Linked DNA regions of Schizosaccharomyces pombe. The main gene of each other region encodes a partner of the protein of the gene in region 2 in a complex. Each region holds a gene or a part of one and is shown on either strand. Other genes may lie near its edges. The genes, in order: mst1 and epl1.

Evidence for each region.
Region 1: epl1 (region 2) and mst1 share a complex: the UniProt entries of both Schizosaccharomyces pombe proteins name them as parts of the nuA4 histone acetyltransferase complex.

The regions. Positions count from the first base shown.
Region 1 is NC_003424.3:4,558,494-4,564,766, reverse strand, and holds mst1 (histone acetyltransferase, KAT5 family Mst1), read left to right. Parts: upstream 1-1,937; 5' UTR 1,938-1,991; coding exon 1,992-3,383; 3' UTR 3,384-3,530; coding exon of another isoform or gene 3,531-5,474; 3' UTR 5,475-5,666; downstream 5,667-6,273. Other genes in the region: slm1 (cytoskeletal signaling protein), read left to right, coding at 1-873; ATP-dependent RNA helicase Rpm2, read right to left, coding at 3,531-5,474; 19S proteasome regulatory subunit Rpn10, read left to right, coding at 6,131-6,156, 6,199-6,273. UniProt on the Schizosaccharomyces pombe protein: Catalytic component of the NuA4 histone acetyltransferase (HAT) complex which is involved in epigenetic transcriptional activation of selected genes principally by acetylation of nucleosomal histones H4, H3, H2B, H2A and H2A variant H2A.Z.
Region 2 is NC_003421.2:2,187,415-2,192,666, forward strand, and holds epl1 (NuA4 histone acetyltransferase core complex-Piccolo HAT module linker protein Epl1), read right to left. Parts: upstream 3,462-5,252; 5' UTR 3,316-3,461; coding exon 3,148-3,315; exon of another isoform or gene 2,941-3,147; intron 2,627-2,940; coding exon 1,121-2,626; 3' UTR 669-1,120; downstream 1-668. Other genes in the region: cnb1 (calcineurin regulatory subunit B), read left to right, coding at 4,790-4,841, 5,035-5,252. UniProt on the Schizosaccharomyces pombe protein: Component of the NuA4 histone acetyltransferase complex which is involved in transcriptional activation of selected genes principally by acetylation of nucleosomal histone H4 and H2A. The NuA4 complex is also involved in DNA repair.

The DNA.
Region 1 (6,273 bases), on a different chromosome or scaffold from region 2:
GCAGTGGCACAGCTTCAAGAATTTTCTTTTCGTTTCGAGCAAAACCTTATCGCAAAAATTAAAGACACGGTTAAGCAGTTTGAGGGCATGATGAATCAAACCCATGTCAAAGCTATTAATCACCTCCAAGAAGTTGTTCGCGTATCAGAAGCACAAACCCTTGCTGGCGAGTGGACCGGATACGCAAAGCGTGAGCCGGAATTTATTCATGGCTCTGTTCCCCCCCGCAGCGTTGATGCTATAAAATATCCTGGTAAGAATGACCAACCCACTGTACCTATCATGGCTGGTTATTTAATTCGTAAAACAAGTTTTTTAAAGAAAAAACAAAGAGGTTTTTATGCCTTTACACATTCTGGCTATCTTTACGAATTTAAATCTTCTGATTCACTTCAAGATCCTGAACCCGAATTCGCCCTTTACATACCTGATTGTCTGATCGGTCGCCCTTCTGAGAAGAAACCCAAGTTTAAAATAACTGGCAAGGATGCTACTAAGAAAATTTTTGGCGCGCGAAACGATTACGCGTTTCGCGCTTCTAACAACACCGAACTAATGAGATGGTGGGAAGCGTTGAATACCCATATTGCTAATGTGAACTATATACAACCTTTAAGCAACGCAAATGGTCCATCAGCTGTTTCCGACAGTGATGATGATGATGATGATCCAAATGACTTCCGTCCAGCCGTCGAGCGTCAAAGTTCTACGATGAATACCCGTATGTCGCAACCAAGCTCTGCTGTCAATACAAATCGAAGTTATGGTTCGGAACAAATTCCCTCATACGCAGATAGCCAAGGAAATTCTGGCGCCAACAACAACTTTATTTACAACGCTAGTGCTACTGGTCATAATGCTTGGAATGTATAAAGATTGTATATTCGCAAATTAGGTACGAAATGTGCTCATGTATATTTGTTACACTGCCGTTGTGTTTTAAATGGCAGTCTTTGTAACTCCCCCATACCCGTCTTAATTGTATCTTTTTGATTCCCGTTTAAAGCACTTGAATGTTGATTGTGAACCATTTTACTGTTACTGTAATGAATTCATGATAGTGTTTCTTGATATATAGTGAACTTTTGAAACACCAGTCAACAAATATATAGGTATTATATATAAACTCAGAATAAATACATTTTCTGTTCACCCATACCTGTGGCTGATGACTGTTTCAATCGGGAAAGTTACTTTTTAATGTAGCAGGTTTCATTCCGATATATCTCAACCGCTCGTTTCATGTTTATTAATTTAGCAGCTGGGATGATGGTATATACCTTGTAAATAAAGTGCCTAACATACTTTTATTGGTTTTTGTGAATTAGCTGAGCGCGTTAGTGAAGTAAATTCCCTTAATTATGAAAAGTACTTCTATTATTCCTTATTGGCATTATTCTTTTAATTGGAAACGGAAAACTGAAGAATTGTATTACTGTTTATAGCATTTTCGGTACTTTCTGGACAAATTTCGAATATACTCGTGTTCAAACCCGAGAAAAATATTTTCTAGATTTTTATATTATCAAAGAACACTAATTTTAATTGAGCATTTCAGGATTTTTGAAGTTGATCGTTTAATTTATCACAGCTATCTTGATATGTGTAAAATGAAAGTATTTATTACTCTTTTCATCCTTTCAAAAATTTTATTAATTAATTTACTTTCTATTGGAAACGAAAAGGTTAGCATCGTTTGCTGTAAGCGCAGGTTGAGAATAATTACGTCGATGCTATAATAACGAGCGAAACTCTAACTTTAAAAATCATCTCGCTTAATGAATTTCAAGGTAGCAAAGATTGTAAATTCGTCGAAATTTGCTAAACAATTTAATTTAAAGCAGTAAAGTTCACAAAAAACATACCGACATTTAACGAATCGGTAAAGAAATGTTTTCGAAACTAGCAAAACTCACCACCATGAAAAAAAAATTTTCAGGGTGGCTACACAATTTGTACATGGAATAAGTATCCACTTATTGAGACTCAAGATGTCGAATGATGTTGATGATGAGTCCAAGATTGAAACAAAGTCTTATGAGGCTAAAGACATAGTTTATAAATCCAAAGTCTTTGCATTTAAGGATGGAGAATATCGAAAGGCGGAGATTTTAATGATTCAAAAAAGAACTAGAGGCGTCGTCTACTATGTACACTATAATGACTACAATAAACGTTTAGATGAATGGATTACAATAGATAATATTGATTTATCGAAAGGAATTGAGTATCCACCGCCGGAGAAGCCAAAAAAGGCTCATGGAAAAGGAAAATCCTCAAAACGTCCAAAAGCTGTTGACAGACGACGATCGATTACAGCACCTTCAAAAACTGAGCCTTCGACGCCTTCTACGGAGAAACCTGAACCATCCACCCCTTCTGGAGAAAGTGATCATGGATCAAATGCCGGGAATGAAAGTTTACCGTTATTGGAGGAAGACCACAAGCCCGAAAGTCTTTCAAAAGAACAAGAAGTAGAAAGGTTACGGTTCAGTGGCTCAATGGTTCAAAATCCTCACGAAATAGCTCGAATTCGTAATATAAACAAAATTTGCATAGGAGATCATGAAATTGAACCTTGGTACTTCTCACCGTACCCTAAAGAATTTTCGGAAGTAGATATAGTTTATATTTGCAGTTTTTGTTTCTGCTATTACGGATCTGAGCGACAATTTCAAAGACACCGCGAAAAATGTACATTGCAGCATCCACCCGGAAATGAAATATACCGTGATGACTATATATCCTTTTTTGAAATTGATGGAAGAAAGCAACGTACATGGTGTAGGAATATTTGTCTTTTGTCCAAACTTTTTCTGGATCACAAAATGCTTTACTATGATGTTGATCCCTTTTTGTTTTACTGTATGTGTCGCCGCGATGAATATGGATGTCACTTGGTAGGATATTTCTCAAAAGAAAAAGAGTCCTCCGAAAATTACAACCTTGCTTGTATCTTAACTTTACCTCAATACCAAAGACATGGTTATGGCAAGTTACTCATACAATTTTCTTATGAATTGACCAAGCGTGAGCACAAACACGGCTCACCTGAAAAACCACTTTCTGATTTGGGGTTGATTAGTTATCGAGCGTATTGGGCTGAACAAATCATCAACCTTGTGCTTGGAATGCGAACTGAAACCACTATTGACGAATTAGCCAACAAAACTTCAATGACTACTAATGATGTGCTACATACACTTCAAGCACTAAATATGCTTAAATATTACAAAGGTCAATTTATTATCTGTATTTCAGATGGAATTGAGCAACAATACGAAAGATTGAAGAACAAAAAAAGAAGAAGGATCAATGGAGATTTGTTGGCAGATTGGCAACCTCCTGTTTTTCACCCTTCCCAACTACGATTTGGATGGTAATTCTGTACAAAGAATGGATTAGATGCTGGTCGTCTTTCTTAAAAAAAAAAAAAATTCTCATAATTAAAGTATCTCCTAGATATATATTAATGATACTTAAAGTTTGAAGGAATAGAGACTAATTTGTAACCTTTTATTTCATTTTAGTTACTTTTGTAATTTCGATATTCCTTTGATTAGAAAAGCCTCTGCTATTGCCTTGGTTTTTTCGGCTGCTCCATTTTGCAGGATAGCTGGATATCGTATACTAGCCCACATGTATGCTACTATTAATTTGTGAAGCTGCTCTAGTTGTTGTAACTCGGTTTCAGTGGTTGGAATTCCGCGTTCTAATATTTCCAAAGGTACAGACTTCAAATCATATATTTGCAGACGTTTTCCTTGAGCGATAACACATCCGATTTCCCGAATAAATAGTGGTGCGTATTTAGAATGCTTTAACACTGGGCACCCTAACAATTTGATTTTATCTTTAATGGTTAAACCTTTTATGTGGTCTAAATATTCAATAATGAATGTGCTTAGTGCTCCTTCCGACACAACAAATGGAGTAGTCGTTTTCGCTAACTTAAAGTAACGATCGAAAATTAGCTTTTGAGGAATGTCATCAGAGAATAGTGATAAATATCTAAAGAATAAATCGTCCTTAGCTCCAATACAAGCATTGAATAAGTTCTTTGTAGGAAGATTCATGGCGCGATTTAATTTCGCAAAATCTTTTTGATATAGGGTAGTTACTATTCCAGCACTTTGCTTAGATCCATTGGGATTATGTCGGCCAGCTCTTCCTGCTATCTGCTTAATTTGTGGTACAGGGATGTCTATAGTGGAAACTCCACTAAACTTTTTTAAATCGCTGAAAACAATACGCTTTACGCCTAAGTTGAGACCCATACCAATGGCATCGGAGGCCAGCAAAATATTTTCATCAGAACTCTTTGAATTAAATAAGCTTGCTTGTTGATTACGGACTTCAGGAGGCAGTGAACCATAAATAACGGCAGATTTTTTTCCTAATGCTTGATCAATTTTAGACTTCAAAGTAAAAATGTTTTTCCTTGAAAAAGCCACAACACAATCCCCGTCTTTGAGTTCACTTAACTTTCCATTTAAGCTCTTTTCTGCAACGTGGAGAGGATTTAACCGTTCGTATCTGTAAACAGTAAAATCATCTTGGGTCATTTTAGCAATTGAACGCACTAATTTAACAACACTTTCTTCTCCGCATAAATGAATTTCCTTAGCCTGCAAGCCAAGCAAGCATTGAGTCCAAGCATATCCCCGTGAAGGATCAGCCATCATTTGGATTTCATCAATGACTGCAACATCAAAAGTAGTAGATAAGTTGCACATTTCTACAGTACATGAAACAACCTGAGGGAAAGGATAATCATTTCTAATCTCTTCCCCTGTGTAAAGATTACAAGCTATTCCGTTTGCTTGCAAGCGATTATAGATTTCGTGAGCCAAAAGTCTTAAAGGGCCAGCAAATATACCTTTCTTGCAAGTCTTAAGTCTTTCTAAAGCCCTATGTGTTTTCCCGCTATTCGTTGGGCCGACATGCATAATGATATGCCTTCTGAGTTTTCTCGCTCCTGGATACCACTCAATTGGATTTTTTAAATCTGTTAATTGCTTTTGTAAGTCAGGTCTTGTTTCTTCTATTCGCTCTTGATATCGTACATACTTCCGATACTCTGAGAGTAAACAATCATGGATCTTTTTTATTTTCTGAAGGTCAAAAGTAGAAGAAGATTTTGAAAGAGCCAATGATTTATCAGAGTTTTTTAAGTCAGAAAATCCTAAATCTGTAAGGATATTCTTTTTTAACTCATAATAGTATACATTCTGAAAGACACTGGCATCCTTGCAGACATTGACAAAGTCTTGGGCTAAGTATGCTTGTTTTGACGAAAGTTCTTTGGAAGCAAATAAATATGCAGTGAAGCGATTGAGGGCAGCAGCCCACAAGGTATTTCCTGGGAATTTCCTTTGTTGAAAAACATCCTTTGATAAAGTGTGAATTCTAGCAGACTTGCTAAAAAACGGTACACAAAACGTTACGCCATGAATCAAAGTTTCCAAAAACATTCCTGGCGAGTTAAAATCTTTCTAGCAATGCTCTATTGCTGGCCGCCCTGTAACCAGAGCAAAACTTAATCCAAGTATTTAAAGTAATTTAAAAACAAGAAATGTTTATATAGAAAATTAAATACTTCTCAAACGTCTGAAGGTCCCTGGCTTTATCGCTTTTAAAAATATTACCTTCTATTAATTAAAAAAGGAAAAAAAAAGTAATAATTTGACTACGAGATTCAGTCAAGTTGCCTGCTGAGGCCTCTAATATGTTATACCAACAGCTCTGCATGTATCTCCAAAAAATTAGTATCTCAGCAGTACCCTTTAAATTCCAGTTTTCCGCTTCAGTAAATATATAAAATTTTTTAAAAAGCGTTTATTACCTACACTTGTATTATAACAATTTCACGCATTTGGTGTTGGCTTTCGATTATTTACGCGTGCTGTAAGAAATTAGAGAACCTGTGGATTCGAACAGGAAATGAATTGTGTATCACCATGTTTTTCGATGTTTCATTTTGTGATGCGTTACATATCGTTATCCGAGAATGACTAGAGAAGGTGAGTAGTAATACCTTGTCTAGTTCACTTTGCAACACATCTTCTGTAATCTACCAAGCGTTCTTTCAAATTTCTTCGCATTAAGTTTTAAATTATAGGTCTTCAAGATGGTGTTAGAAGCAACGATGATTCTGTAAGAATTTATTTTTGTTAAATTATTGCTCTAACATGGCAGAATTGATAATTCAGAATGGATGATTAATGGTGATTATATACCTACGAGGTTTGAAGCTCAAAAGGATACTGTACA
Region 2 (5,252 bases):
TTTATATCTTCGTTTGGTAGTGTTGAAGTTTACGTGACTAAAGAAGTTGTTGGTAAATAGTTAAGTGTAAACAATGAAGTGAATAGTATGCATGTGAGTATTACTAGTTTTTTATTTTCATAAAAGCTAAACAGTAAATCTATTAATCATTCATATACTTAATGACTTTAATTGAATCCCCAAAGTCGTTATGATGAACCTAAAATTTGTCAGTTCAGTTAAAAAAGTTGTTTCAAGTTTTTTATAATTGAAAGTAACAACAATAAAAAGATAAAGGTTATTGATATTCAATTAAGTCGATAATTTCTAAATCTCCTACTGCAATCATAATTGCTAGAAGTACGCCTTATTAACACATACTATGGAAACTAAGAGTGAGCATTATAAATTCGATATGACTCTTCTTCATATTTGCTATTGTATCTTGTAGCAATGAGAGAGACATATAGTTAGTGGATGATTTTCTAAAAAATAAGCTCAGAGAACTAAAGTAAATGGTTATAGAACAAAAAGGAAAGAAACCAATAAATATATAATCAACAACCCAACGCAATGACTTAGTCTGAAATTTTTCCAAAACTACTTAAAAAGCTAAAAATGTATTCAATTTGAATACGAATTCGATAAGTCGTTAAGACATAAACTTCGTACATCGTATATTTATTATATGCTAAATTAAAAAAGCTGAACAATGAATTGAATGTCATTAAAAAAGTCATTAACCACATGCAAGTCTAAAAAAGCGGGATCACCAAAAATTTTGTAACAATTCACCGATTCAACTAGTACAGTATCAAATAAATTAGCGACGATAAAGAATCTATGCATGCATAAAACCAGGGTTGGACTGTAGAAGCAAAATCAAATCTTGTGAGCCAAAAAAAAAGCTGACTATGCTTTCAAGTCAATTCCCCCTATTAAATTTTTTATTTGGACAAACAAAAATCATAAAAATGAATAAACACTATTTTTCTAAAGAGAAAAATAGATTATACCCCAAATCCCTTCAAGAAATCAATCAAAATCTTAAATAAGCTAGTCGAGGAGAAATAGTTAAAATAAAATTTGATCGAAATCTTTAGTAATGGAAATATTATAAATACCATAGATAAAAAGCGTTTTATGACTGAGTACCCATATCATCGTTTAGCAAGCTAGCTCGAAACATTATAGAAGCATCAGATTCATCATCGAGTATAATTGTGTCATCGGCATCAAAGGGAATGTCAAAAAGCCATCGATCTTCAACACGAGATTTTGGTTTACTCAACCGATGTACTGGCAATGCACGAGTGCGATCCAACATCAAACGCCCTCCACGTCCTATTCGTTGTCGAACGCAGATGGGATTTCTGGGATGTAATAAAGTGCTATAGCCGTATAAAGAGTTATTTGAAGAGAATGAAAGTGAATCGCACGTATTAAAATTAGATAGGGAAGAGTGAGGTGTAGAGTAGGTGGGTCCATTATCAGATAATGGAGTCGAAGGGGTTGAGGAAGGAATACTCAGTTGATTATGGGATTGTTTCGTTTCTTTTCCTGAATAATATGGAATAATGTTTCGGTAAAACGAATCGGGATAATTAGTATGAATAACGGTACTAGGCGTCTCCAAAAGGTCAACCCAATTACGATCGAGCTGTTCCTTCTTGGTAAGACGTTGCTGAAGACGAATCTGAAATTGTGTAATTTGGGCTGATTGAACATCATCAAGCATTAATAACGGTCGAACTTCGACATTTCGCGTAGGTTGTGGGCGATAGGAAGCAGGGTGAGGAGAAGTTTTTACAGGTGGAGCTGGAGTAGGTACAGGGGCGGCGGGCTTTACCTCAATAGGACGTCGTTTAGGATTGATTAAAAGTTCATCACTGTCTTTTATATTTAGAGTACGTTTAAGCTTTTTGACAAGACAGCGCTTCTGGAAAATAGCATAGTCGTCTTCAAGCGCTTGCAGCTTCTTTTGCTCACGTTTGTACACTTGTTCCAGTAACTGAAGACTTGTCTCCATGCTTTGTCGTAACCTCCGTAAGCGATCATAAGACTGAGCGTCCGACCGACGAGTTTTGCGAGCCTGTCGAATTTCACGACGACGAAAACAAACATATGGATCATCATCATCCTTATCATCGCCAACTTGTGCTTTAGCCATAATTGGAAGACCACCCTTACTGATACGACGCTCACGCCAATAAGGGTATACTTGACTAGCTAGTGGTTTCAAGTACAGTACATCTTTTAACTCGAAGGAGGTGATGAGCTCAGACAAAGGCAATATTTGAGAGGTATCCATGCTCAAAAAAGGCTGATTTTGATTAATTTCCTCTTCAAACGTCTGCATGACAATTTCAAAATCTAATTCAGAAAATTTGGAAAGAGAAGGTTGAGCCTGTTTCAACTTCAGAAAATATTCCGTATCATGTTCATCCATGCAATATTCTGGGTTTGTACATTCTTCCACAGTGAGAGAAAACCGAATTAATGTCTTAGGAAGAATGAAATTCTTTTTGTAATATTTGTCAATTATACCTATATTTTTAGCCTCCCGTGTAGGGATAATAAGCTTTTTTTCAGATCCACGCACAATGGCCTCATGGGCTTCATTGATGACTTGTTGCAAATGTTTTTCCTATAAATTGTTAGAAATCTAAGTAATCGAAGATGAATGAAAAGCGATAAGAAAAAGGACAGCTGTATTCCAAAAACAATAAATAATCAAATAAATAAGCATTGCTAGAAACATAACCCAAAACATTCATTAGCCACAATAATGAAGTAGCAATCTTTTCTCAGTAAAATCAAATTTAGAATAAAAACTAAAAAGGTTCAATGAATCCGTTGAAAAAAAAAAAAAAACCTCAAAATTCGTGAAAGAAGGAGCATCAATATTTTTCAAGTAACTTTTAATTCTCAGTTTACTAATCTTTACAAGAGTAACTTTAACACAAACAAACTAGCAAGTTTAAAAAATTCAGAAATTCGATGCAACTCCGCTCAAATCATAATTTTCCGCATAACCCTTCGTATACATTGTAAAACGGTGATTAAGCACCTTTAAAAAGAGTGTTTATTTTTGTCAACGAAATCCATCAAGAAGCCAAGGTTTTTCGTACTTTTCATTATCTTTCACATTCTCGGGTTCGCACTTACCTCTTCCTCTTCTTTTTCAACACCAGATTCCACCAAGGGAACTGTCCGCTGAAGTGAAGCTTCTTCATCAAAGTCAGGTATATCACGTTCGAAATAAATCGGCATAACGGTTTTAATACCGACCTTCCGTTGACGATATGCCCTAGCATTTTTGGAGACGGAACTCATGATAATATTGGTATCGTTGGACTCCAATCACTTAAATCTATCCAACCGTAAAATTATAAGATACTCGTCTCACTCAAAATCTTGTAGAAACAGGCGCTAAATCCTGGCGTAGTTGACGGCCGTCGTCGTTGGTGTGTCAAACCACTAGGGGTTAACAAACCGAATGAAATTTTTCATAAACCTCTTCACTGCGATAATTTACCGAGGAGCAACGTAACCAAAAATAATTTTCTAATACGCTCGTACCGTTAATATACAACGTATTGTAGCGATATTTACTGGAGATTCCAGGTGTAAACAATGGAAGAAACCGATGGCAGGAGAAACAAAAGAGGAAATTGTCAACCATCAGTTGAAGTGAAGTCCATAAAACTCCATAGTGAATTATAAGGAATCAAGTTCTATCATAGTTCATCTTATTGACGTCGGAAAACCCTCGTCAATACTCAATAGAAAAAAAGCATTACTAATTCAAAAGAAAAGTCATGATCTGCTAGTATTCGTAGTCTCTAGTAGCAGAAAAAAGCACTTGATTTTTACTTTCAATGCGTGTTATAGACCATGAATAGGCATTTCTGTTAGAATAATAAACTGTTCGCAGCAGAGCCAGGTGGAACATAGAAGTAAACAGCGGAATAAATTCTACATTTTTTTCCACTAACGAAGATGTTTTCCGTATCTCATCAATTATCTATGCCAACTGCGCATAGTATAGGGTGAGAAAAATGAATGTCTTTTTCAAAACGAAGCAAGTTGTAGACAAACATTTTCAACGTTCCACATTTGCTTTTTCCAGAAACCAAGCCCTTTTCAGGAAGATTAAAATTTGATTTAAAAACATGAATTGCAATCTTTCAAATATTCGAAAGTCCTTTCAAATACTTACCAAACATGTCGAAAAATTGCTCATTCTCAGATTTTGCTTCCTTCATAATCTTAAGCTCATATGGTAAAGCTTAATCAGCATAAAACTGCTAAAGCAGTTTAAAAAAAATTTGGTCATCAGAAAGAATAAAGGTTAAAGGTATTTAGTTTTGAAAAATTACAAAACCTCGCCTTTAAAAATCCAAGATGCAGAAACAGCCATCTCCAAAGCAATTATGAATTGCTCTAAACCTCAATTCTTTGTCGTTTTTAAGCCGGATTTTCGTTTGATGCATCCTTTCTAAAAATGAAAAGCTGCCATTGCAGTTGAATTTTCAATTACAAGCTTACAGATAATTTTCATAGCTATTTTTTTGCACAACCCAACATGTTTTCAAGTCATTTTTTGAAATTTACGGATTCCACGATTATCTTTGAGATTGGTGGAAGACAAAGTGTGCCAAGTGACATTCGACCCTTACATTCAGAAGGATTTTGACTCAAACTACCACCACCGATATAAGGAATTTTCTTTGAAAGGTAGCTGACCGTTATATTCTTGGTTTGTTAATTGAACCTTACTCATTTCATATTATTGTGTTTCCCTCTCATGGGTCAGTCGCAGTCGCAAATCTTTGAGGACTTGATCTCAAATTCATCCTGTAAGTTTGATGCTTAGTACGTGTGGCCAAAAGTGTTCTTATCATTATATTTTTTCATGTTAGAATACTTACATCTCTTGTCGTCTATTTCTTTTTAAGATTATAGCCAATTCATCAAAGTTGCCGGTTTCACATGCACAATGCAAAAGTATTAGCACCTCAAAGCGACTCGGCTAACGTTCATTGTATCTAGTTTCCAATGAGGAGATAGAAAGAATTCGCAAGCGTTTTATTAAAATAGATGCTAACCAATCTGGCTCTATTGACCGAAACGAATTTTTGTCGATTCCCAGTGTAGCTTCTAACCCACTTGCTTCCAGACTGTTTTCAGTTGTAGACGAAGACGGTGGAGGAGATGTGGACTTTCAAGAATTTATTAATAGCCTTTCTGTATTTTCAGTGCATGGCAAT